Lytechinus pictus: one gene and its partner. Each later gene encodes a partner of the first gene's protein in a complex. Links are inferred from orthologs where the notes say so. Each region holds a gene or a part of one and is shown on either strand. Other genes may lie near its edges. The genes, in order: WD repeat-containing protein 48-like and ubiquitin carboxyl-terminal hydrolase 12-like.

Region 1 (16,796 bases):
CCATGCTTTATTAGAGGATATATTTTAAAGATGCTTTTCTTTGCTGGGAGGAAGTTCAAGTCAGAAAATTTTATGAACCCGCAAATTCCGTAATATGTAATAGGCCGTGTCCTTAGATCTTTCACAATACCCAATAGAATGGATGAATGAACGATAATATATCATCCAGTGGGGGTGACACCATCGGAAGGAAAAATATTGCCTATTTATTTTGACAGTAAAGACTTGGACCGCAAGTGAAGATTATGTTGTTTGGCATACAAATGCTGTGATGTTGTGGGGAAAATAAATCGAAGGAGTCAAGGAGGTGAGATTAATAATGTTGCACTATTTTGGAAAATTTATGGAGCGAAACAAGTAAGCGAAATATGACTTTTTTAATGATTCATGGTGTAATTTGGCGTATAAGGTTTTATTTGCCAGATTTTAAAGGAAGTTTATTGAAAATCATGATTCTGAAGGACAATGGCTCATCAAATGATATTAATGTTGTGTTAAATCACCCCCCCCCCCCCGTATACGCCAATGTACGAAATTGGAGGGGGGATATATCCCACAACGTTTGGGTTGGAGTAAGATCCAGTACATACAGCTAATATACAGCTCATACAGCTAATGAAAAATTTAGGTCTATTATCATGATTGGGAAATGCGATGTGTGCACTTATTTTTAGATGAATAACGTTATATGAATTTGAATTGAATATGAAAATACCTGAAAAATAAGATATTTTAATGGGGAGATGTAATTAATGAGCTAGTAAGTGACTCTCGCATTATTACCCTGGCAAATTGTGATTTTATGTACACTTTGTTCAGCCCCATCACCCCCTTCGCCATTTTGGCTTGGGCCCCCTAAATCAGTATCCACTATGTAGTTAGTCTGCGGTCCTAGCTGGTAAGCCTCATAGCTTGTATATCACACAACCTTCAAAGATTGAAATCCGAGCAGTTTTTATATATTGATGTGTCCCGTTTCTGCCTTTTAATTTGGTTTTAGTTTCAGTGTGATATAAACAACGTATCAAACATCAATATTTGCTCAGAAAAAGATAGATGATTTGCAGAAATTCAATTAAATTGCAATCTTTAGATGTCAGTTTTGGTGTTTTCATATGATAGGATTAAGGATCACAAAATATAGTTGGCAATTGTCATTGTATTATATAGGTCTCCCAAAATTTTAGCTATAGATCTTCGCGATCGGACTGTAGGCCTATTCATTTAGTGCGATAGTGCACATGATTTTGTTAGGGAGACGCATAAATCCTCTCAATGAATTCATACAAAGAATCTTTGGAATGATCCATTGTATGATCAGTATCAGGCGCGTATCCAGGATATTGCACCCTGGGGGCCCGACCAAATTTTGGCGCCCCTTGAACTTTTCGGAAAATGGCAACCCCCCCCCCCCCCCGCCAGGCAAACATAGGTGACTTAAATCATGGACCCTATGCTTAAATGCATGTTGAATTCTCTTATTTCATAATCACGTGAAAAGGGCAATCGAAGACCACTTTTTTAACGCGTTCATGAAAAAAAATATCCGTGAATATGTTGTAATACCACTTTTTGAAAAGAATAAATGCGACCAGAAATCATAGAATTTTAAGCACTTTGGGTTTCAATTTAGTTTAACTTCTCATCAGAGTGGTAGGCCCTACTAAAACTATGTTTGCAGGGGCTGTAATTTCTTTGCCAGGGGCGGATCCAGCTTTCGCCAATGGGGGGATATTTTCATATATATGTTTCCCTATCGGACATTCTAAGCACTTTTTGCAACCATGGACATGATGGGTATACGTATATTTAAACAATTGATGCGAGCACAAAACGCGAACTGAAATTTTGTAATATTCTGGCCTCAAAGTTTGAAATCTATAAGTACTCGAGGTAATCAAGAACAGGATGGGTATCTATCTTAACATTTTATGTGAGTGCGAAGCGCGAGCTGACAATGTTTTTTAATTTCCTAAGCGCTTTTTGTAACCATGAACATGATGGGTATCTAACAAATAATTTTTTGCGAGCGCAAAGCGCTAGCTTAAAATTTGTGATATTCCGGACCCAAACTAGACATTCTAAGCACATTTTGTAATCATGAAAAGGATGAGTGTTTATTAAAACAATTGTGCTTGCGCGGAGCGCGAGCTGAAAAAAATTGATATTCTGACCTAAAATTCGGACATGATAAGCACTTTGTGTAATCATGATCAGGATGGGCATCTAATTAGTCGATGCGAATTTTTTTTTTATATTCCGACCCAAAACTCGACATTCTATATGCACTTTTTGTGACCATGAACAGAATGAGCATCTATCTAAACAACTGACGCGAGCGCGAATCGCCAGCTGAAATTTTTTTTATGTTCCGACCTAAAATTTTGACATTCGAGTAAGCATTTTCGGTAATCATAAACAGGAAGAGTATCAAACAAAACATTTCATTGAAAATGTTTGATATGTCGATCCAAAGTTGGACTTTTTAAGCACTTTTGGTAACAGGATGGGCATCTAACGAAGCTATTGATGTGACCAACCTTAATCTAAGCGCCTCCCCCATGTGAATTTGGCACCCCAGGACAAACATCAAATTGGCGCTCTTATGTCAAACATCAATTCAGTGCCCCTATGTCTAAAATCTATTCGGCGCCCCCTCCCCTTAGGCTGAACATCAATTTGGCACCCCTATGTTGAACATCAATTCGGCGCCCCTAAGTCGAACATCAGTTCGGCGCCCCATATTTCGAACTTCAATTCGGCGTCCCTCCCCCAGGTTGAACATCAATTCGGTGTCCCTATGTCGAACATCAATTCGGCACCCCCGTAGGTGGAACATCAATCCAGCACCCCTATATTGAACTTCAATTCGGCGCCCCCTAGGTTGAAGATCAATTCGGCACCTCTATGTAGAATTTCAATTCGGCACCCCCCTAGATCGAACAAAAGTTCGGCGCCCCCAATGTCAAACATCGATTTGGCGCCCCCCCCCCTTTGGTCGGCGGAAATCAAGTCGGTGCCCCCCCCCCCCCCTCCTACGTCGAACATCAATTCGGCGACCCCCCCCCTTAATTCCTTCTTCTTTTTCCCCCTTATTTCCTTCCCCCTTTTTTCTATTTCTTCTTTCCCTCCTTTTTTCTCCCCCTTTCTTTTCCTCTCTTTCCTTTCTCTTTTTGGCGACCCCGTTTTCGCCTACCCGGAGTCCCGGGCTCCGAGCCCCCCCCCCCCAGAACACGCGCATTAGTATGATAAAAAAACTTCAGCTCGCGCTTTGTGCTCAATTTATTTATTTAGGTCGTGTGAGATTAGTGTCAGTGGCTTAAACTAGGGCGAAGGGGAAAAAAGGATTACAGCCCCGGAGGGGGGGGGGCACTTATATTGACGAGTGGATACCATGCATGCACGAAAAGCACCCTAAACAAGTATTTTCCATATTCTGAAAATGCACCCCTTAACAAGTATTGGCGTGTGAAACCCTACCCTTAACAAGTATTGGAAACAAAACGATACCCTTGGCAAGCAATTCCCTGAATTGAACCCCTAAACAAGTAGATCTAGATCTACAGCGATATTGTAATCGTTATGTCACGGACGTCGGTTTTACCTTTACCTACATCACTGGGTTTAGCCCCTTTCACAATTGACGTACGACCATTTGCGACCTTTTGGTCGTGCGACAGGCTGCAACAGGCATCAATCGCTAGTCATCTCATAAGATCGCACAGAGGCTTTCACAGTTGCAACAGCTGTCGTACAACAAAAACAACCAGTAAACCCCGTTGCACGAGTAAGTCGCATATGCTCTTATTGTGCTCGTGCGATCACATGCGAGTGTTGCACGAGGGATTGCGAGTGGAACGGTCGCATACATGCGAATGAAATGGTAGTGCAATGTTGTAAGCCGTTGCGATCGGTCTTGCAACAGTCTTATGGCCCATATTATTATCGCAACCAGTCGCAAGACAGGTCTCTGTACATGTAGGTCGCTTGCACATGTGCAAGTGTTGCACGACCTCCAGTCAAGTAAATGCGACTACTTAGTTGTGCCACCTCTCGCACCAAGTCGTACAACGTTGAACAACACTCGCACGATGATCGCCCGACCGATAGTACGACCCCGGGTACGGCCTGATGCGAATGAATCGATCGTATTTGATCGCGTTCGGATTTTGAACATGTTCAAAGTTCAGATGTGACCAGCCACGACCACCTCGAGTTCGTGCGACTGTCTACAACGACTGCGAGTGCTCGCAAGACACCAAGAGATCGATCGTGCAACAACAAGAAAAAACTGTTGCAGGCGGTCGTAAACTGGTCGGACGTCAATTGTGAAAGGGGCTGAACGGTCGCATACATGCGAATGCAACGGTAGTGGAATGTAGTAAGCCGTAATTTCGATCGGTCTTGCAACAGTCTCATATTATCGCACCCAGTCGCAAGACTGGTCTCTGTAGGTCTCCAGCACATGTGCAAGTGTTGTACGACCTCCAGTCGACTAAATGCGACTATACTTAGTTGTGCCACCTCTCGCACCAAGTCGTACAACTTTGAACAACACTCACACGATGATCGCCCGACCGATGGTACGACCTGTTGCGAGTGAATCAATCGTATTTGATCGCGTTTGGATTTTGAACATGTTCAAAGTTCAGATGCGACCAGTCACGATCACCTCCGACCACCTCGAGTTTGTGCGATCGTCTACAACGACTGCGAGTGCTCGCAAGACACCAAGGGATCGATCGTGCAACAACAAGAAAAAACTGTTGCAGGTGGTCGTAAACAGGTCGTACATCAATTGTGAAAGGGGCTTTTAGTACGGCCCCACCTCCCACACCTCGCGCAAATCGTACTCTAAACACGTAGTGTTGACTGTTGCTTTGGGGGCAAAAAGTACATCCTTTATAAAAAAAAATTATTTTTATACCCTTGCAAATTTGACCCTAAACACCTAGCTCTCCTAGCAAAATAGATACCCTTTTAAAATAATGTTAGTGTTTTTGGCACCTTTAATTATATACCTCTCTTTTTTACGTATTTTTGGGGGTCGCGCATGGTACCCACTCGTCAATGTAAGTGCCCCCCCCCCCCCCGGATTACAACTAAACTTTAATTGAATTTGAATTTGAATTTATTAATAAACTTCATTCATATGGCATGAATATTTTGTTTTAAAATATATACAATGATAACATAAACAAAAACATTCATAACTGTATGTCGTATAAATCAGTAATACATCAATACATAGATTTCCAATTATTATAAAGATATACATCTATATACAAAGAGAAATGACGAATTGAAATTTAACATAAAGAAGGTGTAGCATAATGCAATATACATAAGTTATCTAATTATCGAATACAAATCAGGAAGTAAATAAATGTATACCGTTAGAGATATAGCTTTGGTAATGGTGGCTTTGGTGGATTTTAGATATTATGAATGAAATTTAAAAAGAAAAATGTACTTGATGTTAAAACTCGCCCCTCTTATTTATAATCGCTTTGAAGAACTTACAAAAATTATCAATTATGTTTTCATTATCAAGTTTCATTATGAATATAAATTTGTCTTCATCGCTAAGTTTCTTAAACTGTTTATACATTTCAGCTATTTTGTAAAAAAACACCACCCTTTCAGTTGTGTGTACATCACATTCTATTATCGTGTGATACTCATCCCCAACCCTTCCTAAATTACAATTATTGCACGTTCTTAAATGTGAGGGTATTTTATCTGGACGTCTTCCAGTTTCAATGGGTAAATTATGGGAACTTATTCTAAATCGACAGATGTTTTTCCGTATTTTCTGATTTTTAACAGTTAATAGATATTTCTCTGTTTGTATATTCTGTTTAAAAAGTTTATAAGTTCTCAATTTATTTTGTTCATTATCATTTCCTCTATGATTACGTAAATCCAATAAGAACTGGCGATTGAAAATATCTTCAACTTTGTTTTCTATTTCTTCTTCTACTACTCTATCACTATCGACTATCTCATCTAGTTCTAAACAATTCTTATTCACATCCAAATATATGTTAAACCCCTTAAGAAGGTGTTGCAGGTTTCCTAGCCAGCATTCGCAATTATTCTCAATTATTTTTTTGTTTTCTTCAAAAAAGTGATGTAGCAAAGAATCTTCATCTATACTTTCCGCTAATTTGTGTTATCAGTGGATACATTCCAACTTCTGCAAGTATTGCTAAGTGGCTGCTCCTTTTGTTAATTCCTAAGACATTTCTCAACCATTGAAACTGGACACATTGAATTTCATTTCTCAAATACAACTTTGAATTACCATTTTCAAGCTCCGCTAACTTTTTTAAAGTTGACGGTAAAAGCGCCCCATACCTCCGAACCATATAAGAGTATTGGCTTTATTAAAGAGTCAAATATTCGTGACGCGGTTTTTATATTTGGAAGATTGTAACAAAAGGATTGAAATAATTTGAATAATACTCTCTTGGCTTTATCTGCCAGATTAACTCTTGTATCTTTGAATGAACCGCAGTTATTGAAAACCAAACCTAAATATGTTGCATGTTTAACAACTTCTATGTTCTGACCGTTAATTTACCTCGAAAGCCTGATCTTTCAAATTTTTTCCATTCTTGTTACAATTCATTAATTTTTGTTTTGTCAGTATTAACATTCAATAGCCATTTATCACAGTAAATACCAAGTCTATCTAACAATGTTTGCATTCCACACCTTGATTTTGATACCAATACAATGTCATCTGCAACATTAAACAGTTGACTAACTTTCCATTCAACTCAACTGGATCAGTGTCAGTAATTCCTAACTCATGAGGCAAGTCATTTAGATAGAGGTTGAAAAGGGTGGGACTTAATGTACACCCTTGTTTTACACCACAATTGCTTCCAAAACTCTCGGTTATCCCTTCATTCAGCTTTACACTCAACTTTAGTTTTTTATACATATTAGTTACAATCTCATAAAAATTGCCTCCTATACCATATTTCAGCATTTTGAGGAAAGTTTCCACTGACGAGGATCAAGTTGAAAATTTTTGCTAACACTGGTGAAAAATTGTATATACCTGCTTTTAACATTTCATTTAGAATCGCATCACAACCAGGTGCTTTCTTTGGTTTAAGTTTTTTAATACATGCCACGACTTCGGGAGATGATATAGAAAAATCCAACGAACTAAAGGTTCTTTTCAGATGTTCTTCATTTAGTTGACCCTCAATCACCCGTTGATTCTCAGTAAGTGAGTAGTCCTTATTCATTAATTTGCAGAAGTAAGTATACCACTCTATATGTGAAATCTTTCCCGAAATATCATTTCTTTCAGTATGCAGTTCATTCAAATCATTTATTATACTCCACCTTTCTTTTGTGTTAGTGCTTTGCATGTTTTCTAACTTTGTTTACATATTTTCTCTGCTTTCTCTAATATTTGTTTTTAGTTTTTTCTTGAATAATTTCCTACACGTATAATACGTATTTCTCAATTGACAATCGAACGGTTTCTTACATACTTCCCGACACAATTTCTTAACCCTATTCCTAAGTGCTTCTGTTTCTCTATCAATTTGAAACTGTTTACATTTTCTTCGTAAATTCTGTTTCTTCCTTGGTATTTTCCTTGGTATTTGAGCTGAATCAGCCACGTGTAAAATACAGTCAGTCAGCTCGTTCACCGCAGTATCTATTCCGTTTTCATCTAACATGTAATTCTTTTCATACAAAGAATTAATCATGTCCTTGTTTTGGGGCTCTTTCAGGGCCCTTTCAAACTGTTCTCTGCTAAACTGACCCTGCCATTTAAAAATATCTATAGGGGTTGCTTTAACTCTTTAACATTGCTTTCACATTGATCTTTATGTACATCTCTGTAATGATTTGCCCTAATCTTTACCTCTATAGGGCAGTGGTCTGAATGAGTCGTTAAATGTAATACATGGAAGAATGTGATTAGACCATATAAATCACTATCTGTCAGTGTATAGTCAATAACGCTCGGTGTAGCACCATTAGCACCATAACATGTAAAATTTCCATTCGTGTCTCCAAACGTACGACCATTTAGAATTCGGAGATCACACATTTTACATAACTCCAGAATATATTTTCCCCTATTGTTTGGGGGTCTACAATCCTGGTTTCTTCTATCCATCAGATTAAAATCATTATCTATTCTATATTGTGGTATTAATCGACCTATGTTGTCTTTTTCTGGTGTATTCTGATCAGACACATTGCTGGTGTAACCATTAAAATCTCCCATCAGTAGGCATTTGCCTTGCCTCTTGTGTATTGCAGTATCTTGCTTGATTTTTTTCTAACACATCAATTTCCGAGGAATAAGTCGAATTTTCTGGGTTAATGTAAAGAAAACAAATAATTGTTAATAACATGGTAGGTCCATGCTCATACGACTTACTTGAAATAAAAAAAAGTTACTAGAAAACATAAACGGCAGCTAATTCTTCTAATTCTTCTATTTTTCTAATTGTAATGGTACGTGATGAAATAAATGAAACGGTCACCAACAGTAGCGTACGCAGGGATGGTTAGAGGGGTTCAACCCCCTAATTGTTTTTATACCCACCCACCCCCCCCCTTAAAAATTTTGTGAAGACTTTTTTGGGGGGCATGTCAATTTTTCAGAGGTACAGACTGACTTAAATTTGTGGTGAAAACCTTTTTATTTATTTATTATTTTTTATTTTTTAGTTGTCGATCAACATTTCAGTCAGCTTGCTCCTGTGACATTTAATCCGGTCTCAATATTTTAGAGGGCATATGGTTATTTACTTAGGATTTGATTAGAGTTCGCCTTATTATTGTAATAAGTTTTTATTTGCTCATAATAATATTGATATAGTTTGGAGGCTGGGTCTCAGTATGTTTGCTTATAACGTCCACTATCGGGAGCCATCGTCGCCGGAGCAAATGTCATGGTTCCAAAATATCCTGATTTAGGACGGATAACTTTGCTAACATAGCCACTGATGCTGTCTCCCCCAAAGCCCCCCCCCCCCCCTCCCCCGCTCTATTATTATTACTAACGTTAGCACAAAAACCTAATCTGAGTTTGCAAAAATTACCCAGATCACATCATTGATAGGTGGAAGTCTAACTTTATTTTTATTTTGGTGCTGTGCTGATGTCAACAACCCGCCTAACACAAGCACCAAGCTCAACACTGCACCTACCTGAGGTGTCCGTGTAGAGTTGTAGCGTACACGAACAATACACTGCACCTGAATCAGGCGTTTGGTGTAGAATATTATGACGTCATTCTTGTTGGGGCTCTCAAAGAATGGCGGTCCACCACAGGCAGCCGAGCAATTCTAGGCGAAAAGTTCAGGTATATTATAAGAATGTGAATTGGTGTATATGACGTAAAATATCTATAAGACCCAAGGAATAATTAGTCCATGTTTTTTCTCACTGATAGTGTTAACAGTTTTTAGGTAGAATCTAGTGAAATTCCCATATTTTCAAGTGGTCTCTCATAAACTTTCTTCTCAGTCCCACAAATGATTGTACACGTTGGGTAAAGACAAAGTTGGGGCCAAGTATAGTCACGTATTGTATTACCGGACACTATTGTGATTCCGGACGCGCATATAAATGGGTTCGAAAACAATTTCGTACCGTAAGACTTCCGCAATTCATTTTCACAGGTCATAGAACAAGATTGCAAAAACAAGGCGAAAAAATCAAATTTCTACCTTATTTATCTCTAAAATGACAGAAAATGCGTAAGTTAAATTAACCCAGAGAGCTCCAGCCCGCGTAGCGGGCTGGAGCCCAGACGCTCAGTGTGCAAACGGGCATTCAGGTGAGAGTACCGTGAAGTTTGGTCAAAATAATTTTGATAATACATAATTAAAACAGAAATTAAGCACTTGCCACGATTGTATGGATGATAGTCTAACGAGTGGCAGTTTCCTGACATCGAGGCACAGACTGGAACCTCAAAAAACGATCAGTTCTGTCGCGGTAGCTCTCCTCTTTCAGAATTCAACACAAAATGGCCGATCGAGACCGAGGCTAGTATAGCACTAGCGCATATAGACTTTGTCAAATTCGCGCATGCGCCCTACACCCTCTCGAACGGCCATTTTGCTATGAATTTTGAAAGAAGGAGAGCCACCGCGACAGAACTGATCGTTTTTTGAGGTTCCAGTCTGTGCCTCGATGTCAGGAAACTGCCACTCGTTAGACTATCATCCATACAATCGTGGTAAGTGCTTAATTTCTGTTTTAATTATGTATTATCAAAATTATTTTGACCAAACTTCACGGTACTCTCACCTGAATGCCCGTTTGCACACTGAGCGTCTGGGCTCCAGCCCGCTACGCGGGCTGGAGCTCTCTGGGTTAAAGTTAAATTAAACATCATATAGGCCCTAACATAGTTTTGCATTAACAATTGAATGAATTGATATATTTTCTAACGGAAATATGGGCCTGATTTGCCGAATTTCAATCTCGTCGGCTCCTTCGATCGAATGATGAGGTGAGGTGTATTGTGGGTGACCCTCGACGGCTAGTTCTCAAGGTACCGTGCGCGAGGTTTACCGTGAGTAGAGCCGTCGACGATCGGCTGCGCATCCATAGAACTTGATGAGCGTCACGATACGAACGAGCACTGGAAAGTGCCATGAAACATGCAGCTAACCAAAAAATAAAAAATAAATTAAGTTATCAAACACGAATTTATTACCAACATCTGCTCAGATTCGATATAAAAAAAGCAAACAAAAAGTAAGAATTTATTCATGATATGATATAAGAAGAAAGAAATCACAGAAATTTACATCCATACATCATTATAATCAAGGATATCTTTACCCGTCTGGCGCGCGTCCGGAATCATGATGTAATTTGTCGCGCACGAAAATAATTGTTTTTCGTGGAGGGGTATGCGGCAAGTGCGATGCAAAGAAAATGGTTGGTAAATATAAAATAATTTTATCATATTAATAATTTTCATAATATTTGGAATAGCAAGTGCAAATTTTTCTTGATTGTATTTCTTCTAGTTGTCATTTTTAAAGCACTGAAATAAAGGTGTCCGGCAATAGGATACACTACCATACTAACTTTGTTAGAATATTACTTAGGCAAGCAAATAATTTAGATCTAGACCAAAAGCTTCAGTCTCTGTATTTGGTTGTTCCTCTTAACTGCATTGGCTTCTCTGCGTCCTGTCGCTTTGGCAAAAAACAAAGAAAACAAGAAGGCGACTTAAAAACGCGGCAGCCAATTTTTCCCCGGCCCCGTCTTTTCATAAGAATAAAATATTAATAATTAATATTTTACTCGATTTTTTTATGAATTCTTGAATCTTGTTTAAAAATGAAATCAATATTGTGGAAATGAAATTGTATCCCATTAACATGATTTAGGGCAAGATCTTAGAAGGAAAGTAGAAATCTTAGGGGCGAAAATTTCATTTTTTTTCGCGGTACACTCACATGCATGGGACGCAATCCCTGGCTCCGTGGAGAGTAAGCACACGTTTCTCTCTAGGCTACTAGTAACCCAGGGAGCTCCGCAGGATCTCACCGTGCATTTACTCATACTCACGGGACTAGGGTAGATTGTTACAATAACTTGGAAAGAAAAATGTGAAAACAGAAATTATGCACTTACCACGATTACCGTAAGTAACGGTGTATTAACCGCACCCCCCATTTTCGGATGGAAAAAAAAAAAAAATCATTAAAAAAAAAATTGAATCAAACTTACTTTCTATCTCTAATATACGTATTTAAGAAAGAGTCAAGAACCAAAAAATATCGAAGAATTACTGGTAAAAAATGATGGGAAATCAGCGCTTCGTCACTTATCTGCAAGTTGCCGATATTATTGGCCACTTCCACACTCCGAGTCACCTCACACACACACATGTGGAGGTGTTCATTGCAAGTACCGATACCAGCATCAACATGGGGGCTCACCCATACGAGAAGATCGTTCATATCATATTTCCTGCATCACAGCCCCACTTTTGCTTTCAGAATTCTGTCTAGCATTCAATGTCTTGACATGAATTTTAGACAAGGGAATACGGGAAGGTTCAAGATACGAGAAATTTGCGATTTTGTTCAGGTGTTTTTCTTGTCTGCTTTGAACCACTACCAGTAGTTCTCAGTACGTGTGTGGCGGTATCTTACAGACAGCAAAATAGGAAAAAAAATGCTAGTACCGGTATACCGTATTTTCAATGGGAGCTCTGGGTGGGAATAAAGTGAATAATAATTAAAAATAAAAAGTCGGAAGGAGTGAAGATGGGGATTGAAGATTGATTTTGAGATGATGGATGATAGAGAGAAATGAAGGAAAGGCAAATGAAAGAAATTAATTGTCAAATAATACCAATAATTTGTCAAACAAAATAACTTCCACGGAAAGGTAAAGCGCCAGCTTACGTTGACGTTGCGATAAACATTACACATGCATGTCTTATTCGGCTAGCTGCACCGTGCTGTGCGATCGATTGGCGTCTGAACTTTGCCGCGATGACTAAAAAATGACAACAAAGACAGAGTCACACCATTAAAAAAAGTCAGTTTCATGAAGGTAGGTGCATTTGTTACCGTGATATAACTTTGAGGGACATTTACGGCAGATACCGGTAGTCATAGTTGCTTCCCTTTTATACCCGCGGCTCATGCCCCTCTAAACGGGATTGCCCCAAGCGGGTACGCTCGGCCACCCGACGCGAGTTGAAAACTGGTAGTGGTATCGGGCTGAGATTGGCTTGGCTCAGACCTGTCACCGTGTATAAACCGCACCCCCGACTTTTGATTCTGTCCCGCCGAGAAAAAGGTGCGGTTAATACACCGTTACTTACGGTATATGGATGAAGGTCTATCATGTGGTAGCATCCTGACATCGAGGCACAGACTGGAACCTCAAAAAAAAAAGAAGTTCTGTCGCGATACCTCTCCTTCTTTCAAAATTCAAAACAAAATGGCCGATCGAGACCGAGGCTATAGCACTAGCGCATATAGACTTGGTCAAATTCGCACATGCGCCCTACACCCTTGGTACCGGTCTCGATCGGCCATTTTGCTATGAATTCTGAAAGAAGAAGAGCTACCGCGACAGAACTTTTCGTTTTTTTGTGGTTCCAGTCTGCCTCGATGTCAGGATACTGCCACACGATGACCTCCATCCATATAATCGTGGTAAGTGCATAATTTATGTTTTCACAATTGTCTTTCCAAGTTATTGTGACCACAATCTACCCTAGTCCTCCGTTTTTTTCTTACTTTCTTTTTTTTTCTTTCTCTCCTTTTTTCCTTTAAACATTCATTCATCATCCCTTTTCTTTTTCTTTTTTATCTATTTCAAAGAATGAAGGAACCCTTTTTTTCTTTTTATTATTTCTTTCATCCTTTTATTCTAACTTTCTTTCTTTTCACTGTTTTTCTTTTTTCCTTCATTTTCTTTACTTCATTTTTCCCCTTAATTTTTTCTTTCTTTCTTCTCGATTCATCTCTTTTCTTTGTCTCCTTCATTCTTTATTTCACCCATTTGTTCACCCTCCCTCCCTTCCTTTCCTTTTTTCTTTTTTTCCTTCCTTTATATTTTTCTTTCTTCATTTCTTTCTTTCTTTTATAATTATTTTTCAGTGATTCCCTTTTTTATTTTGTGCCACGGTCACAAAAGTACATGAGAATATATGAGAGAGGAAATCATTCAAATAGCACATCAACACACTAATTTCGGTCATGGCCGGCAAGATAAAATCACATGACAAAATACAATTTTACAAATACAAGGTACATCAGTTCGTGTTAGAAAGAGGAAAAAGGCAATGGTACATGTCCATAGAACAGCACTTCTTTCCTTTAAATGGTAAAATCTTGTTATGAAATATTTTTTGGGGGGCAAGTGAAATATATATTCAGCAAGTATTTTCCAACTATTTAGAGATAAAAAAGGTTATGTAGCACCCTGTACAAGATTAAGTACATTTGACATCTAAAAAAAAGGATACTGAAAGAAATGGCCTTCGATGCCCTTCTTTGAAAAAGATTTTGGCCTTGGTGCCCTTTGTAGTGGCCTTAGTGCCCTAAAAAATACAAGGTATTTCAAGGCCAAACTGGCCTTGCCCTAAAAATGACGTAATTTAAGGCCTGCAATGCGGTTTTTCAGTTTTTCTTTTGACTTTTGGATTGGCCATTTTGAAGTCAATCCTAAATTTCCGAGAAAGTTTGCGAACTAGGAACAAAACCACAGGCACAGATTTCTTCATTTTCAATTCATTTTTCTGCGACCTCGCTTCTTAAATCTGAGCTAAGCCACAGTGTGCTCTGGAAATATGGTACAGATTCCGCATTTTTAATGGGAAATTTTGACTTTTTAAAGTTTTTTTTTTTAAGGTTCAAATCGGGACTTGCATGTGGTGAGTGATAATGCCTGTGTATCATGTGTTTGGTGTGTGTTGTGGTGATGACTACTGGCTTGTGAATTAGTTTGCCACGTTGCGAGTCAAATGGAGTTACCATGTGAAATTCCGGGTGCCTTACTTTAACATGCCTGGAATTCGACATGTGAACACAACAGAGCCCTCTACTAAATAAAGAAAAAATAATCACTATAATTCACAAAAGGATAAAGAGGTGGGAGAAAGGGCTTTATATTGTTCAGTGAGTTTCATAGAATTCTTTAAACCCTTTTAACAATTTCCTAATTTCTATTAATCTCATGATGCTGTTGCATGTGTTGTGCCTGTGATATTCATATGCACAGCACAAGCAATGCACCCATGGGTGTGGCAGGACGGAAGAATTTTGTATTTCCCCCTCCTTGATTGTATCCCTGTTCAGTGAATATGGCGGCATCAAATACGGCTGGATTTCAGACGGAATTTGATATCGGATTTAGCCCCAAAATCCTACAAAATGTGTTAAGAATTAGTTCAAATCTGTTGATAATTCAAAGAGTTTGAAAGCTCATTTCAAGTTTGGCTGCATTTCTTGATCAATTTAGGGGTCTAATTTTTAAAAGTTTACCAATTCTTTTATCGTTGTCGAAACTTAAATTGTTAAAGTTTCTGTGTGTGTTTGTGAAGTATCGCTGAGGAGCACTACTGAAGGCAGAATGAAACCAAAAGATAGGCTTGCTGCTTGCATAATGAATTTCACAGATTTTCATGGATTTTTGCGAGCGTGCGACAACGTTACACATGAGATACATGTACGTGCGTGCGCACATGCCTGCGGCATACAGCTGAGCGAGGTCCACACTGTTTATGTATTGGTCAGCACATAAAGATGTTCTATTTTGCTCCTTTTTCAGAAGTTGAGGATTACATGTATTTTGATGATCACATGTATTTATGACAAATGGAGAGCTTTCTATTACTGCAGTGGTATCTATGTTTCCTTTGCCAGTTTGCCTGGCCGTCTATTTTTCTGTTAATTTGTTTCATGGTCATGGACTTCTACAGCTTTTTGGGGGAGGGTTCTGACTTCCTCCATGACCATGTGGCCTCCCTTTATTGAAGCCCATTAACAGTTAAAACTTTGAAAAAATTGATTGTTTGCAAGGTTGAAGTTTATTCCCTGTAGCCTAAGTGGTTGTGTTGCATTAAGTACAGAAGCTACTTAATTTGTTAACTTGTCTTGTAACCTTGGTCAGGAAAAGGCCTGATAGAAGCTAACTGTTGCCCTGTTTAGTCATTGCCATCATGATTTCAAGTTTGTAGATATAAACTTTATATCCTACATAATGCACTTTACTTTAGAACACATGATTTTTGTCTCAGTCATCTTTCATGCAATTTGAGCTGATAAGATGGTGAAGGCCACTAGCAATCACACCAAAGCCTTCCATTAAGTACATGTAAGATTGAAAAACAAGCCACTTGATATGGGTGAGTGGACTTGCCTTTTAGTTATGACTTGACCTCACATTGAAATATGTGTCCATTTTTTTTTCTGTGCGGGTTCAACCAAAAATCATCCAGTTCAACTAGCTTTAACTCTTTAACCACAGTTTGAAAGTAACATGATATTATAGCACTAGTATAGAACTACTTCAAATTTCACATCAGACAAAACAGATGCTATTTTTACTGTAAAATGCTAAATAGACCTTTTTTCTTTTTTCTCAAAGGTTTCTTATGTGATCCGCGATGAAGTGGAGAAAAAACACAGGTCAGGGGTCAATGCACTTCAGTTTGACCCTGTCCTAAATAGACTCTACTCAGCAGGCAGGGATTCCATTGTCAGAATATGGAACCTAGCTGATGAAAAGGTAAGGAAATTCAGTAAGAATTAAAGAATAATGTAGAAGTTTTAGGATACGCATATCTCCCAATAATCAGGCGATATGTGACAGAAATCAAGTTCTGGTGTTGAGTGCTCTATATAACTCCATTGTTTAAGTTATGCACATCACTTCTTAGGCATGCTATAACTTTCATTCGACATTGTTATTTTAGTGTATAATAATTGCCCTTTGTAGAAAAAGAAGAAAATTGACTGAAAGTTTTATTGGTCAGATGGGCTCATCATTAGCTTAAAGGAGAATGAAACCTTTGGAACAAGATAGCTTGTGTGAAAACAGAAAAATCAAAAAAACAGACCAACGAAAGTTTGAGAAAAATCGGACAAATAATGAAAAAGTTATGAGCATTTAATTATTGTGATCACTAATGCTATGGAGATCCTCATATTGGCAATGCGACAAAGATGTGTGATGTCACTTGTGAACAACTCTCCCCATTACTTAAGTTTATATTTCACTTAAACTGCCTCTTTTATCACATATATCAGTAGATC
Region 2 (16,760 bases), on another chromosome or scaffold:
ATTGCACGCCCTCTCTATGCGTTTCCGGATCAGGCGAATTAAATCCATGCCTTCTTCAACATCAAGAAAAATCATTGATATACATGTAAATTACCAGAAAGACAAAGAGGAAATGAAATTGGCTTCATATCGTTTGGTAAGTTTCATATCAAAAGCTTATCTGATTTAAAATCTCTCGTCTATTACTAATTAAAAAAAAATCCCCTGAAAGTGTTGAATGTGCCGTGCCAGTGATTATCCTGTGCACAGCGGCAGTAATGCAACCATGGGTGGGTACAATGAACATATCTTCATTTGTAATGATTGTGATGGATTCGTAAGCTATAAGCCTAATCTATGTTTTAAATTAAATTAGCTATTTTTTTTTTGTTTCATTCATTATGTCAAGTTAGCATAAATCCAACAATTTTCATTGATTAAAATTAATCTCAGCAAAAAATAATGATAATGGAAATGAAATGAAATAAAAATAAATAATTTAGCATGTTTAGCAACAGCTTAGTTTTTTTTTCTGAACGTTAGAAACTTGTTTTCTTTACCATATGCATAATTTCTTTTAAAAAATTGTTTTCATGTTGTTTATCTAATGATGAAGCATGAGGTCAGAGAGATTGCCACCCATTTCGATATTTCAAGTTTAGTTGGAAAAAAAACTGGAAAAGAGTTGGGGAAAACAAAAAAGAGGGAGAAAATGTGAAAAAAAAAAAAAAATATTTGGGCCTATACCCAGGAGAAGTTAAAATGACATCCGTTTTGGGTCATCTTGCCGTGCAACAGTCCGACCACTCACACGTATTGCGAGGTTAGTATACTATAACCTTGAACTACGAACATGTCTATCCCGGGGGGGGGGGGGGGGGGGGTACTCGACCAAAAAGTGGAAGGTACATGTATGTGCCGCGGGCGAGACAAAAAAAATGGGGGCCTTGGAGCGGGCTTATTGTAAAAAGGAGGGTCCTCGGAAACGGGCTTCGGAACTACAAATGTTTGTGAAAACGGGGGTCCTTGGAACGGGTTGCCTGCGTGTGAGTGCGTATGCATGCAGCTAGCCCGGCGACGCGGGCACCCTCACGCAGAGGGGCGATGGTCGTACAGTGCTCTGCTGCCGCTTTTCACCAAAAATGCAGCTCATTGTAGCAGATTAAATGACGCTATTTGAGGGATATTCATCATATTAGGGGGAATTTACTTCACATCATTTGGTAAGTTTCGTAGGACTTGATTCTGTAAATCCTCCTATTAAATTTGCGGGAGTTTGTTGCAACTTTGCATGCGCCGTGCCTTCAATTATCCTGTACACGGCGGCAATAATGCACCCATGGGTGGAGTCCGACCTGAAATTTATGACAGCCCCCATATAAACAATAACTTGGCGCATCCCAGATAAAATGCATCAGAGTGGAATCGAATGACCAAAAAAAATATTTCAAGATGATATGTCAGTGTGGCTTGCCGTAAACACATTTTTTCTCAATGCCGACGGTGGCGGGCGGTGTGCAAAGAAGATCATGCCTACATAGGACATGTCTGGAGGTGTCTTTCCAAGGACCCAGGGTTGAAAATACACAGGAGCGACGAGCGATTCTGCCCTCGCGTGCTTTGGAATCGCTCTCGCAACTGCCTAAAACTGCCAAGTACCGAGCGACTCCCAACATGAAAATTGCTCCAGTCCACGCCCATCAAGTCTCCCATTTACGACTGCATATTAGCAGTCAGACAGCCAGGCCAGCGCAGCCGCAGTTTTTAATTTCATGCATCGTCGCATTCTGATGTGTAACTGAGTAGATTTTTAGAATCACAGGCGCGGCGCTTCAGAAAAATTTGTATAGAGTTTCAAACTCTCGATATCCCTTGTACTATTTTTCAAAACGTTGCGCGGCACCAGGTCTCGCCGAAACTTTGATAGCCAAAAATTTCCTTTTCTATTGGATTAATTTTATAAGATACCATCCTAAATTTGCAATGAACCGTGCTGACCAGTATGATTGCATCTTTGAAAGGGCAGGGCAAGCGCAACTCTAGAGTTGGAACTGGGCTGAAGATAGCGGCTTGTTTTTGGTGAAGATTTGTTTATATGCCATTTTGACAAGAGTTACGACAAACTTTTGTATATACTATAATTATCTTTTTCATATTTATAGAAGGATGCACAAGAAAAACATTTCATATATGCATACATCATATTGGTAATAATATCATTATGTGAGAAGTGAGATTTTATAGATAGAGTCAATGGCGACAATAGTCAAATATGACTAATCGCCACTCAAACCAACATAAGAAGAAGAAGAAGCAAGAAAATAAGATCGTGAGCTCTGAAGAAAATCACAGTATTTTTTTTATTTTAGAGGTATTTTTTTTATTTTAGAGTAATTTTTGGGGACTCCACTTCTCAAATCTGAACTAAGCCACTTGGTGCTCTGGAAATTTGGCGCAGATCCCGCAATTTTCAGACCGAAATTAGGATTTTCTGTGGGGATTTTTGGAGAGGAACGGTCAGTGCCGGAGTGTAGCCTATACATGTATTGGCACTAATGCAGTTTCATACCTGCCTGTGTGTTGTGGTGATGATTGACTGTGAGCTGTGTGTTGAGGTGATGATTGACTGAGAGCTGTACTATGTTCAGTGGCTGAGCTGCGCTAGCGTAGCCTAGCTTGAGAAATAGTTGACATGGTGACGTTAGCTGTCAGGCTGTGATGCATTCAATATTTCATTAAATAATTTTCAAGTGAGTTTTAGTCAAAAAGTATATATTTATGAAAAGGATTCCTCTGAGTACAAATTCTGTTCAAATTTGATCAACTTAATCCTTTTCAATTTGATGGACAAAATTGTATATTAAAAAAAGAAGTTAAAAATTGAAGTTAAAATTAGCAGCCCACGAGCTGGCACCTATATTGACATTCATCTTTCAACAATCCTTGGATACTGGTACTCTGCCTCTTGATTGGAGAAGAGCAAATATATGCCCCATCTTCAAGAAAGGAGCTACCACTGATCCCGCTAACTATAGACCTGTGTCCTTGACATGCACATGCTGCAAACTTCTCGAACACATAGTAGATAGTCAGGTGATGAGTCATTTGAGTAAGTTCAACATAATGGCAGACAATCAACATGCATTCCGCAAAGGTAGATCGTGTGAAACACAACTTATCCTATCCTGACCACATACGACTTGCTTCAGAGCATTGACAATAAACAATCTATCGATGTGGGAGTACTTGACTTCTCAAAAGCCGTTGATGTAATGCCACACCATTGACTTCTTCTCAAGTTAAAATATTATGGAATCAGGAATATATCCAAGGACTGGATAGCCTCCTTCTTAATGAATCGCTTTCAGAGGGTGATCATCAATGGTATCCCTTCTGAATGGACACCTGTCCTGAGCGGAGCCCTGCAAGGGACCGTTATCGGCCCCCATCTTTTCTTGATGTTTATCAACGATATCCATGAAAACGTCTCCAGTACAACTCGTCTATTTGCAGATGACTGCCTTGTGTATAATACCATCAAGTCGCCTGGCGATGAGCAGCAATTACAAATAGACTTGAATAAGATGGTTGACTGGTCCCAAGCTTGGGGGATGAGGTTTAATCCATCTAAATGCAATACCATGAGGATCACTCGGAAGAGGAAGCCTGACCCTACCAAGTACACAATGTTGGGAATTAGACTGGAAGAAAAAGAGAACGTCCAGTACTTGGGAATCCAGCTCCAGCGCGACCTTCGCTGGAACAAACAAACACAATATGCTACAACAAAAGCAACAAGGGTGCTGAACTTCATTAAGAGAAATTTCTACCATTGTGCCCCCTCCATCAAAGAAAAGCTATACACTTCCCTCATTAGACCCCACCTAGAGTACGCCATCGCATCATGGGACCCCTACACAAAGAAGAATATAGATAGTATAGAGAGAGTCCAAAACAGAGCGGCTAGATTTGTCTTTAACACGTACGGACGTGACACTAGCATCAGTGCCATTCTTAAGGACTTAGAGTGGGCCCCACTCCATGAAAGAAGGAAGTGTCATCGCCTAACTTGCCTCTACAAAATCCTGAATGGCCAACTGGACATAGATCATGAAAACTTCATCAAGCCCAAGCCATCAAGACGCAGAAGAGGACACACTCGATAATTCCAACAGCAGTACACAAACTCAGACTCATTTGCCAATTCCTTCTTCATCTGAACTATCAACCAGTGGAATGGCCTTCTACCAGAAACTGTAGACCAGCCATCAACGACAACTTTCAAAATGCCCTTACTAAAGACCCAATAATTTACAAAACTAGATCACACTCTCCGGCACACCTCCAGTTAAAACTCTTCTTGGAGTATTTCGGAGGAACATCATACCAAGTACCAAGTAGAACATCCATTTAATTTAATATAGGATGGGGGGGTCGGGTGTCCGGACACTTTATATTTTTGAAGCCTTCTTTTTTTTCTTTGGATTACACTAAAAATACGAATTCAATTGTTGTAATCATCTTCTATTTTGTTCTCTATAATATTTCCTAACATTTTGTACTAAAAATTGATGAAACTTCGCTTGTAAATTTTTCCAAATGACTTTCTAAAATTGATCATCCGGACACACAACCTGTCCGGACACACAACAACTGGGTATACAAGAAGTAATGAGAATTGAGATACAAACAATAAACATAAGATCTACATGCAAATGAACAATAATAAAGAAAATATTTCAACAATTAATAACAATGGCAATGAAGAAAAAGTAAATAGCAATTAAATAAACAATGTTTAACATTAAATAAATTTGTTAAGCAGGAAAAACTGCGATGCGAAACCATGCGCTGAATCATTTTTTTTTTAATGGGTCTCGAAAACTGAAAATGGCTCTCCTTAAGCCCAAGTCAAGGCTTTAATTTTCAAAATGGCTCCCTGGGCTAAAGTAAAAATAAAAAGTAATTTCAACACTGCAAGGACCATTCTACGTATCACTTAAATCGGCTTTGTGAAACAGTTGAGCGATATCTACCTCGAGCGATGTTCGTGCAGGCTCCACTCCACTTCACTACCGCTATACTATGCTCCACCTACCCGAACATCAAGCCCGTGAACCAATACGGATATACCGAGTCACAAAGGTGGGATGGCAATCATGATAATCGTAAAAATTAAACAAAAAAAATATAACAAAAAAGATGAATGACTTAATATCTTACTCTACACCCGTATTTCACAATGTTTCCATCCTCCGGTTATCCTCAAAATTGGTGATTTTGGGCCAGTATCAAATTCCTCACACGTATTATTCACTGCCGATTTCAAAACATTGTATGCAACGAACGTAGAGGGCAGCAACACACATCAGTGTTGCTATTACATGTATATTTGGAAGGTCCACTCGATACGCGTTTCGAAATCGGCCGTGAATAATACGTGTGAGGAAAAAGATACTGGCCCAAAATCACCAATTTTGAGGATAACCGGAGAATGGACACGGAGTGAAATACGGGTGTAGAGTAAGATATTAAGTCATTCATATCCCTCGTTATATATTTTTTCTTTAATTTTTACGATAACCATGATTGCCATCCCACCTTTTATGACTCGGAATATCCGATCTAGTTCACTGTCCCGATGTTCGGGTAGGTGGAGCGTAGTGTAGCGGTCACTCACACGTATTGCGAGGTTAGTGTTAGTATACTAACCTCGCACCATGAACCGCGTTTGGCAGAGGATTTCTAACTAGTGGGTCACGCGTGCTGGGATCCCACTTCAGTGGTGTCCACAACACACGACTTCTATGGCTTTATTTTTCTGTGCGCGGCGGCATGTAATGAACCCTTGGGTGTGTAGCGGTAGTGAAGTGGAGTGGAGCCTGCACGAACATCGCCTGAGGTAGGGTAGGTGGAACGTAGGGCCTTATCTTCATCCAAGTCACTGGGGACAAACTTGAGACACACCTCAAATATCAGCAAACTTTCAATGGAATCCACGGTTGGAAGATTTTCAAAAGAAATCTATTGTTCGAGATGCGAAACGGTGCGAAGCTTCTCACTGAACGGGGACTTCCTTCCACCACACGTTTTCCCATTGACACAATAACAAATGACTCGGACACTTTTTCAAACGACAATAATAGTCTTTTTCTTTTCTCTCCTGTGGCTGTATATTCTTCCAAGTTGATGAAACAATGATCAAAAACACTAAATAAAACAAAATCAATCACATTAAAAACACTATTTAAACTGTCTAATTACTTCTCGTGATCCGAGTCCCCTTCCCGTGTTGAGACTGCCAATTTCCCATAGGAGGGGACTCGGATAACGAGTAATAGTACTCCTCGTTATCCAAGTCCCCTCCTATGAGAAATTAGACAATCTTAACACGGGAAGGGGACTCGGATCACGAGGAGTAATTAGACAGTTAAATAGTGTTTTTAATGTGATTTTCATTGATTTTAAGGATTCTTATTATCGAAAATATTCATTTATCATCTCTAGGAAACTGTCTAAAAGTGGCAGAGTGGTTTTGAAGAGGAGGGAAATGAGGGGTAGATGATTATCAACGGGTTAATTGCCGTTTTGTATTTTTAGTAAAGGTGGGATGGCAATCATGGTTATCGTAAAAATTAAAGAAAAAAAATATAAAGAGGGATATGAACGCGATCGGTCGCTGATTGATCGCGATCGCATGCGATGTTTTGAAATCGGCCGTGAATAATACGTGTGAGGAAAAAGATACTGGCCCAAAATCACCAATTTTGAGGATAACCGGAGGATGGACACGGAGTGAAATAGGGGTGTAAAGTAAGATATTAAGTCATTCATATCCGTCTTTATATTTTTTTTCTTTAAATTTTACAATAACCATGATTGCCATCCCACCTTCATGACCTTTTATGACTCGGAATATCCGATCTAGTTCACTGTCCCGATGTTCGGGTAGGTGGAGCGTAGTGTAGCGGTAGTGAAGTGGAGTGGAGCCTGCACGAACATCGCCTGAGGTAAGGTAGGACATGTTTTACGTTGTGAAAAATTGTCCGTGGATCCGAGTCACCGGGGACTTGGAATGGATCACGATAATGCCGAACGTAGACGTAGTGTAGCGGAAGTGGAGCCTGCACGAACACCGCTCGAGGTAAGCGATATCTCATTCTTACGTAGAATGGTTCAACGAAAGACCCTTTCATGCAACAGCCTACAGTACAGGCAGGCCCCATCTCGTCATGAAACAGGCCCCGGCCCCCCGCCCCTGCGACATACACACATGCACACTCACATTGTCATTGTCATTGATTGTGCCGAGCGAGGCGGGATCGTTGGTGACTGAAAATGATGACTCGGATCGGACCGCCCGGCACACTCACTATCACGACTATTTTGGTGAACAAAGTCATAAAATACTCACCATTCTTGAAACTAGAGAGAAACACGAATACATGTACGTGTTGAAAATTTGTCTCTCTATGGAGCATGTGGATTTACGGAGGTCTCAAATCCTTTCTAAGCATTATTCGAAGTATCGATAACAATTTGTCACGGGTTGTTCAACTTAGAATTGCAATGGTGTTGACAAATTATGGAAAAGGAAAATCAGCATACATCTTTGATTAAGACGGCAGGCAGATCATGTACGAACGTTGCCAATCTAGTGACCATAATTTGATCAAGGGAAATTAGTGATATTATACTGTATCATAGCGATCTCTATGTGAGTTTGATAGATACTAGCACTAAAGTTGAGTACTGGTACCCAAGAAGTTTCTTCTGGTACAAAATATATTATTTTCATATACTAAAGTAGAGTGTCTATAAATTGCCAAAGAATTGTACTAGTTATTTTGATAATGTACACGAATATATCTCTATATTTTCACGGTACGTATTACTTCTTAATCTGTTTGCTTACTTCAGCAAATGGCACTTGACCTACACCCATAGAGATGTATAACATTTCTCACACTTTTCCCTTGCACTTTTAGTCAATTGAAAAAAAAACAGATACATTCAAGCATTTTGTAACAATTTTGCCACCCAAATTGACATTTCATCATTTAGTAAGCACAACCTTTACCCTTTTTGTGCCAGCTGGATCGGAGGACATAACTGAACCTGAACAAAAGTTTATATCAGACATCTCCAGCATTTTTACATTGAGTTTTTATCATTTAAAGTGGGTTTACATTTCATTTTTCATTTAATACTTGTTTTTCCACACTTTTCCCAAGCTTGACAATGATTAACAAAATTAAAATCAAGCCTAAGCCATTTCATGTAAATCATAGCTCAGTGCAAAGCAAAATTCGTCTCGATGGCCTCGGTGTGTGGGGGAATGGAGTGGGCCAATGCACTCTTCGAAGTGTTTTGGGCAAGGAAACAAGTTTAAAAAGGTAAAAGATATCTTCAAATCAATTTTACCAGCTAAATTCCACGTTTTCTTCATGATTAAGATCTACTTTTATTTGCATAACTATTTCAAAGTTCTGCGCAAATCATTTTTCACTACATTTTCAAAAGTAAGTGGTGCTCACTCAAGCGGAAATATTTTTCGACAGTTATATCGTCATTTGCTTAAATGGATCTGTACCAATGTTAAAATGTGGAAAAATCTTCAGGATATTACAAATGTATAATTTTACAGGATTTTTTCAAAGTGTAAACTTTTTTTTGATACGCACTGTAGTTTTCATCTCTATGGTCTAGTGGCCTATACATAATATCTTTTGGTCTATGAGCCAAAATTTTGAGGGATCGAGAGAGAGCACGAAATGGCTACGTGGGATAATTTCTAGAAATTTTGGCCTGTTTAAGAAAATCTAATTTTGTGATATTTTGACGGTCACCAAACAATACCATGTTTCACAATTTTTCATTTTTTCCCTTGGTCATGGAACTTTTAGGGGACCAAATAGCCCTCCCTCCACCTTTAAGCCAATGGTGGTTGTAGCCTATGAGCATAATTCTCATAGCCTCAATCTCTCTTTCCTAATTCCCTCTATTTTAATTCCTATCACTTTCCCTATCTTCACCGTGCCCACTTTCTATTTATCTCCCCATTCGACTTCTCGCCTATGCATCTTTTACCATTCTCTATTTTGCAGTTAACTTTCAGACATATTTCATTTCACTCGCATTTTGCTCCGGGATTTTGCTCTGTGTCTTTCATGGGTCTTTTTTTTTTTGCCTATTCCTTTTTATGGTGCACTTGCTATTTTCCATTTCTTTCCAAGCGCGCCCAATTTGCATGTCTTTAGTGTTTATTTTATATCATTTATGAATCATTATTGCATATACGCACATGCAGCAGAGGGGAAATTACTATGTTTTAAATAAGGACGGTAAGATCAATATGATAAATCTGAATCTGAAATCACAGTCGACCATGAACGTATAGGCCCTTATGACCTTTTTACCTTGACACGATGAGAGAACATTTGATGAAAATTTCCATCAAAGCATTAGTTTTGATTTGTGACGGTAAATCAGCTGGCCCATACGGAGCAAGGGGTTGCGGAACAGGGGGCGGGGGCTAGCTATAGGGGAATTTTAATCCCGGCCCTCGCTCTTGACCCCTTTTCACTAACATGCATAAAGATATGAAAATGAGTGCGGTTTATTATTATTATTTTTTTTTTTGCTTTTACTAGCCCCGGTCACATTTTTTCTTTCTTTCAATTAAAAAAAAACAACCAACATTCGAATAGGCCCTATTATTATTTCCTCCTTTGTAAAGATATTTCGTATTTAAGGTGATAACTTTTTAGCATTCATTTTCCTTGCTTTCAAATAATATGTTCACTTTTGTAAATTTAATGACAAAACCCGTAATATTGTAAAATTCAAAGCTCGTATCAAAGGCATCTAAGGATATTGAATATTTTTGGCGAAAAAATGGTAGATTACCTGTAAATTAAAAAAAAAATGGAGATTTGATATTTTATTTGTCTTATGTATCTGTCTCTTCAAACTTATGTATACTTAAATGCTGCTCAGATTTTATTTGATTTATATTGTAATTTGTACGTTGATCAATCGAGTGGGGTTTATTTTTGCTTTAGCCCCTCACTTTTACTTTCGAAACCACAACCTCTCAAAACCGTTCAGCGGCCCTTAAACAACGAAAAGAAATGATTTATCCCTAAAAGAAAAATGAAAAATAATAGTTTATCCCAAATCATGGTGATCGATGAGTATCCCATTCAGTATCAAATCAGTTATGTTATGTTGTATGTTATGTTATACCGAGGTTTTTTACCTGACTGCTAAGAAAGCACGAATGCCTGTGAGCAAGCAACCAGGGGACCAACGGCTTAAGGTCCTCTCCGAGGGACCTGGTAATGAGGATAAATGCCTTACCAAAGGGCACTAGCGCACCACTTGGGAATCGAACCCGGGTCACCGGAATCCGAAACCCCCGCGCTCTACAGACTGATACAGTGATACAGTGATTTTTATTTCTTATACGGCCCCTTCAGGGGCATGCTGGAAGAAATACAATAGTGTAACAACAAATATAGATATACATTAAAAAAAATTAAAAGATAACAAAAGCTTAAAATATCAGACTCTTACAACAAACAGGTAAAAGGCAAGAATCGAAAATAAAATATATGGACTAATAACATGGCATAAAAATAGTCTGAACTAACTACGAACATGTACATTAATTTTAAAAACACCAATTCAACAACTGGAAGTGCATGAAAAAAAGGAAAGACAACAAAATTATTTGAACTTCGACATGATGACTTTACAAAATTTTGATAGATTCTTTAAGTGCTTAATAGATTTACATTGAATAGCTAATTAAACTTAATGACATTAGGTCTACGGTAATAATAAGTCTTAACATACTTTTTACGCTCATCATTGAAAAACGGACATACTAAAACATAATGAAATTCATCACCCTGAACTTCAAGGTTACACAATGGACATATTTCAAGAGGTTGATCAGATGAATAACGACATTTAGCAATTGGCAGATTATGGTTACCACATCGAAATTTACATAAAGATATTCTATCTCCTACATCCAACTTCAACAAATATTTTTCTAAAACTGTTTCTTTTTTAAAAATTCTATAGTTGAAACACAACCGATTTCTATTAACTTCTTCATTCCAGTTTTGATAATCAATATCACGTAATCTACGTTCCATAGCTAACTTAACCCGATTCAGATTTAAAAGATGGTCTTCTTCCCACAAGCTTGACATTCCACAATTGTCCAAAATACTTTTAATTTTTAAGATCCATCTTGAATGAAAATCAGAATTTACATGAAGTTTTCGTAACAAACTGTAGACGGTGTAAGAGAGTTTAGATTTGTTACCTTGACTAATCCTTGCCCAAAAATTGACCATTATACGCATCTCTATTCTACTTGCGAGGGCACTTCTACCAAGTTCACCATAATATATATACACCATGCATTTGGCAGTGCCACGATTTAGTTTAAGCAAACTTTTAAGAAATTTCCTATGAAATATTTCAATACAATCGAGTTTCTGGAAGCCCCACACCTCACTACCATACAACAAAATCGGAACAACAAGCTGATCAAAAAGCTCATACTGAATATCCACAGGTAAGCACAATTGTTTTGCTTTGCAAATTAAAGCAAACATAGCTCTCCTCGCCTGATTAACCTGCTTAGTGATAGCTTTATTAAAGAACCATTATAATTGAAAGTCGTTCCGAGGTGTATATAATCATCAACAACATTGAGGGTACTATCACCAAAAGTAAATTTGGGGTATTTACGCACTTTTCCACGAGAAAATATAACAATCTTTGTTTTGCTTGTGTTAACAGACAATTTCCAAAGATCACAGTACTGGTGTACAGCTGATAAAGCATTTTGCAGTTCATCAGCAGACTCCTATGGCGCGCCATTTGTTTCATAAAGGCGATAAACTCAGTTTATCGCCGAAAAACCTAGTTTATCAATCGAAAAACCTAGTTTTTCAATTGAAAAACTAAGTTTTTCGCCGATAAACTAAGTTTATCACTTGAAAAACTAAGATTATCAAGAAAAACTAAGTTTATCGCCGAAAAACTTAGTTTTTCGATTGAAAAACTTAGTTTTTCATTGAAAAACTTAGTTTATCGGTGAAAAACTTAGTTTTTCGCCGATAAACTTAGTTTTTCAATTGATAAACTAGGTTTATCAAAAAAACCTAGTTTTTCAATTGAAAAACTAAGTTTTTCGGCGATAAACTTAGTTTTTCTTGATAAACTTAGTTTTTCAAGTGATAAACTTAGTTTATCGGCGAAAAACTAAGTTTATCGGCGAAAAACTTAGTTTTTCAATTGAAAAACTAGGTTTTTCGATTGATAAACTAGGTTTTTCGGCGATAAACTGAGTTTATCGCCTTTATGAAACAGATGGCGCGCCATAGACTCTGCCATAACAATCGTATCGTCCGCATACAGCAACACATAAAGACGTAAAATACTTCAACATCATCATTACTGAGATTTTTCCTAATCTCTGAAGCACACATATCAAGACCTTTATAACGCCTACTAACAAAATATTCAAAATCATTCAAATACATTGCAAACAGTAAAGGGGACAAATTTTCTCCCTGCCTTACTCCTATATTCACTGGCGTAAATCCCGGGGGGGATGGGGGGGATATATCCCCCCCACTTTTCGAGGAGGGGGGGATGGCCTGTACAAACATCCCCCCCACTTTTTACGAAAGAAATGAAAAAAAAAATCACAAGAGATAATCGTTTTATTTGTGAAAATTCTTCCAAAAATACCGCTTAACAAATAAAATAATATTATTGAATCATAAAATGCAAATAAAGAGCCATTTCACCATTTCCAAACGAAATACTTCCAATTCATCAATGTTGGGGTCTTTGGGAAGGGATTAAGATGGAATGTCAAAAAACTTAAAATGTAATCTCTAATAAACCATTAAACCATCATGGGGTAAAAAAGATAATAATATTGGAGGGGTATTTGCCATATGGACATACAGTGGCGTAACTACGGGGGACATGGGGGGCACATCCCCCCCATCGGCTGACCAAAAAAAAAAACGGGGAAAGGGGGAAAAGGAGAAAAGAGGGAGAAAGGAAGAGAAACGTAGTGGGAAAGAAGAAAATATTATTCATTATAATGTTATATCATATTATAATTATGTTAAGTTACATTACATAAGAAACATTTTTATCATAACTTTATGAAACATAATTTGCCCAGGGCCTACGTCTCAATTGTTCCTGGTGCTCGCATTGTCTGTTTGACGAGATATATAATCCTGTTGTACCAAAACATCCCGTTTTCAAGTCAATATAAACCAAATATTTCCTAGCACTTGAGTTATCATTGTTTTATGTAGTGACATGTGCTTTTTTTTCATGACTCAAAAGTGATTGCCCCATGTTAAGGTCTTCGTATATATGAAACATTTCCTGTCCGTGATTACGTTCGCATTTTTCATGGATTGGTGAGATATGTCTGCTCTTCATGAATTCCTAAAATCAGTCCTTAAAATTTCCCTTCTTCTGATCTGAATATCAAAAATTTTCAGCTCGCGCTTCGCGCTCGCATCATTTGGTTAATGAAATACGTATGGTCCTGGTTAATTCCTACAAAGAAAACTTAGAATGCCCCACTTCAGGTCTGAATTATCTAAGTTTTCAGCTCGCGCTTCGCGCTCGCATTGTTAAAGGTCAAGTCCACCCCAGAAAATTGTTGATTTGAATGGATAGATAAAAATCAAACGAACATAACACTGAAAATTTGATCAAAATCGGATGTAAAATAAGAAAGTTATGACATTTTTAAGTTTTGCTTATTTTTCACAAAACAGTTATATGCACAACTCATTTATATGCAAATGAGAGAGTCGATGATGTCACTCACTCACTATTTCTTTTGTTTTTGATTGTTTGAATTATACAATATTTCAATTTTTACAGATTTGACAATTGGGACCAACTTGATTCAACCACAAACTGTTAAAATAATGGTAATTGCACATGTTCAGGGAGGAATAAAAATTTGTTCCACATGACAATGAGGAGAAAATTCGAATTTTTCATATTTCATATAACAAAATACAAAAGAAATAGTGAGTGGGTGACGTCATCTGTCTGCTCATTTGCATACCGACCCGGATGTGCATATACCTGTTTTGTGAAATTAAGCAAAACTTTAAAATGTCATAACTTTCTTATTTTACAACCGATTTTTATGAAATTTTCAGTGTCGTGTTTGTTGGATTTTTCTCCTTTTATTCAAACCAACTTTTTATTGGGGTGGACTTGTCCTTTAAGCGAGACAGGTGCCTATCATGATTACACAAATTTGATTATAATGTCCCTTTTTAGGTGTGAATATAAAAAATTTCAGCTCGCGCTTCGCGCTCGCATTATTTGATGAGTGAGATACATATCCGTTTAATTACATTGTCCTTAAAATTTCTCTATTAGGTCACTCACTCAGTCATTCAAAAAGTTTGCTGGTGCCCGGCCCCCCAATGCCGTGACCCACGGTACGCCACTGTGGACATATCAATGACAATTCCTTGCATATCTAAAAACATGATTGCAAAAAAATGCCAAAATATTTCAGTCATCCCCCCCACCCATCAACACGGATTTACGCCAGTGCCTATATTACAAGCAAAAGAATTGGACAAGCTGTAACCAAGTTTTATACACGATTTTGCATTTAGATACATATTATATATAACCCTAATGATGTTACCATTGATACCATTAGAAATGAGTTTATACCACAAGGATGACCTATCAACTAAATCAAAAGCTTTCCGATAGTCTATAAAAGCACAATAAATTATCTTACTCCGGTGTAAATATAAATCAATTAAACCAGCATGTAAAGTGAAAATATGATCCATTGTGCTATAGCTTCCTCTAAATCCAGCTTGTTCTTCACCAATAATCCCGGCACAATTAAAAAATTCAGTAAGTCTAGTGTTTATGCAAGATGTAAATAACTTTCCCAAACAACTTAAGAGTGTAATACCCCTATAATTGTCTGGGTCATTGATCGAGCCCTTGTTTTTATACAAAGGCTTTATTATACATATATACTCCATAACGAAGGAACTAAACCAGATGACAAAGTAATGTTAAATAGTTTCACAATAAGTGATATCATTACATTTGGACAGTTTTTCAAGTATTCATTTAAAATATTATCTATACCACATGCTTTATTATTTCGCAATTTACCAATCATCTTTACAACTTCTTCTTTGGTAAAATCATTATTAATAAACTCATTGAGCTATCGCGCCTCTAATTGGAACCCGCGGGGGCCACTTACATTGACGAATGATACCATGCGCGACCAAAAAAACACGTAAATGGGATGTCTTTTTCAAGTCAGGGCACGTTACGTACGTAACGTGATAAGGGTGTCAAAAACACAAAAATAATGAAAAAGGGTATCTATTTCGCTAGGAAAGCTACGTGTTTAGGGTCAAATTGCGGGGATGATAAAACAAACTAAAATGTTTTATAAAGATGTCCTTTTTGCCCCAACACTACGATGTGTAAAGGTAAAACCGACGACCGACGGACCCGTGACGTAACAATAAAATATCGCTGTATTTGTTTAGGGGTTCATTTCAGGGAATACTTGCCAAGAGTATCGTTTTGTTTCCAATACTTGTTAAGGGTAGGGGTTCACGCCAATACTTGTTAATGGGTGCATTTTCAGAATATGGAAAATACGTGTTTAGTGTGCTTTTCGAGACCCATGGTCGCGCATGGTATCCACTCGATCGCCAATGGAGGCGGCCGGGCCGGTCCTCCGTTCTGGGGTCCGTTGCAGAGAGAGTTGCGTTTTAAGGCAAGTCAAAAAATCAATCCCAAGTCCCAAATGCGCGCTGTTGATTGGTTGAAAATCACGTTGCGCATGATTTTTAGAGTTGCGATCGATTACAACTCTTTCTGCAACGGGCCCCTGATTGACACGGTAAGTCGACCAATCGGAATCGAGAGCGAGGGAGACTGGGCTCAGTGGGCGGAATATCAGTTCCCTTGAATCTGACGGGAATTGCCTATAGATTCACTGGACTGTTGTTTCATGTGACTATGCAGGGGGTGTGTGTATGTAGTCTGCTGGGCACACCCTTCACTCGAGTTAAGGGTCTGAATGTGCAGCCTATACTCATGCCTTGTGTACTGAAGGTCGTATTGGAACAGCAAGCTTTGTATGTGCTAGTCTTTGCGTGGAGGCACACTTATTGATCAAAGTTCCAATCAGGGTCTGTGCCTGCAGACTAGTGTGTATGCGTGTTCTGGGGCCCGTTGCAGAAAGAGTCGCAATCAATCGAAAGTCAAAAAATCAGGCGCAACTTGATTTTCAACCAATCAACAGCGCGCATTTTGGACTTGCGATTGATTTTTTGACTTGCGTTTAAACGTAACTCTTTCTGCAACAGACCCCTGGGGATGTAGTGTGTTATGTGTTTGGTAGTCGTACTGTACCAAATAACAACAGTCCTGGGTGGTGTTTCATAAAGCTGTTCGTAAAGTTACACACAACTTTACGCACGACTGAAATCTGTTCTTTGGTGCGAAATCGGTTACACAGGGATATCATCTAGCACAAGAAAGGATCCCCAGTCGTGCGTAAAGTCATTCGTAACTTACGAACAGCTTTATGAAATGGGCCCCTGGGGCCCGTTGCAGAAAGAGTTGCGTTTAAACGCAAGCCAAAAAATCAATCGCAAGTCCCAAATGCGCGCTGTTGATTGGTTGAAAATCAAGTTGCG

What was found.
Region 2: WD repeat-containing protein 48-like (region 1) and ubiquitin carboxyl-terminal hydrolase 12-like share a complex: the UniProt entries of both Drosophila melanogaster proteins name them as parts of the usp12-46 deubiquitylase complex. The link is inferred for Lytechinus pictus from reciprocal best matches to the Drosophila melanogaster genes CG9062 and Usp12-46.

The regions. Positions count from the first base shown.
Region 1 is NC_087245.1:11,493,708-11,510,503, forward strand, and holds the start of WD repeat-containing protein 48-like, read left to right. Parts: upstream 1-8,859; 5' UTR 8,860-9,304; coding exon 9,305-9,352; intron 9,353-16,128; coding exon 16,129-16,269; intron 16,270-16,796. UniProt on the Drosophila melanogaster protein: Regulatory component of the Usp12-46 deubiquitylase complex. activates deubiquitination by increasing the catalytic turnover without increasing the affinity of deubiquitinating enzymes for the substrate.
Region 2 is NW_026974140.1:11,560,679-11,577,438, reverse strand, and holds the start of ubiquitin carboxyl-terminal hydrolase 12-like, read right to left. Parts: upstream 7,576-16,760; 5' UTR 7,427-7,575; coding exon 7,394-7,426; intron 1-7,393. UniProt on the Drosophila melanogaster protein: Catalytic component of the Usp12-46 deubiquitylase complex.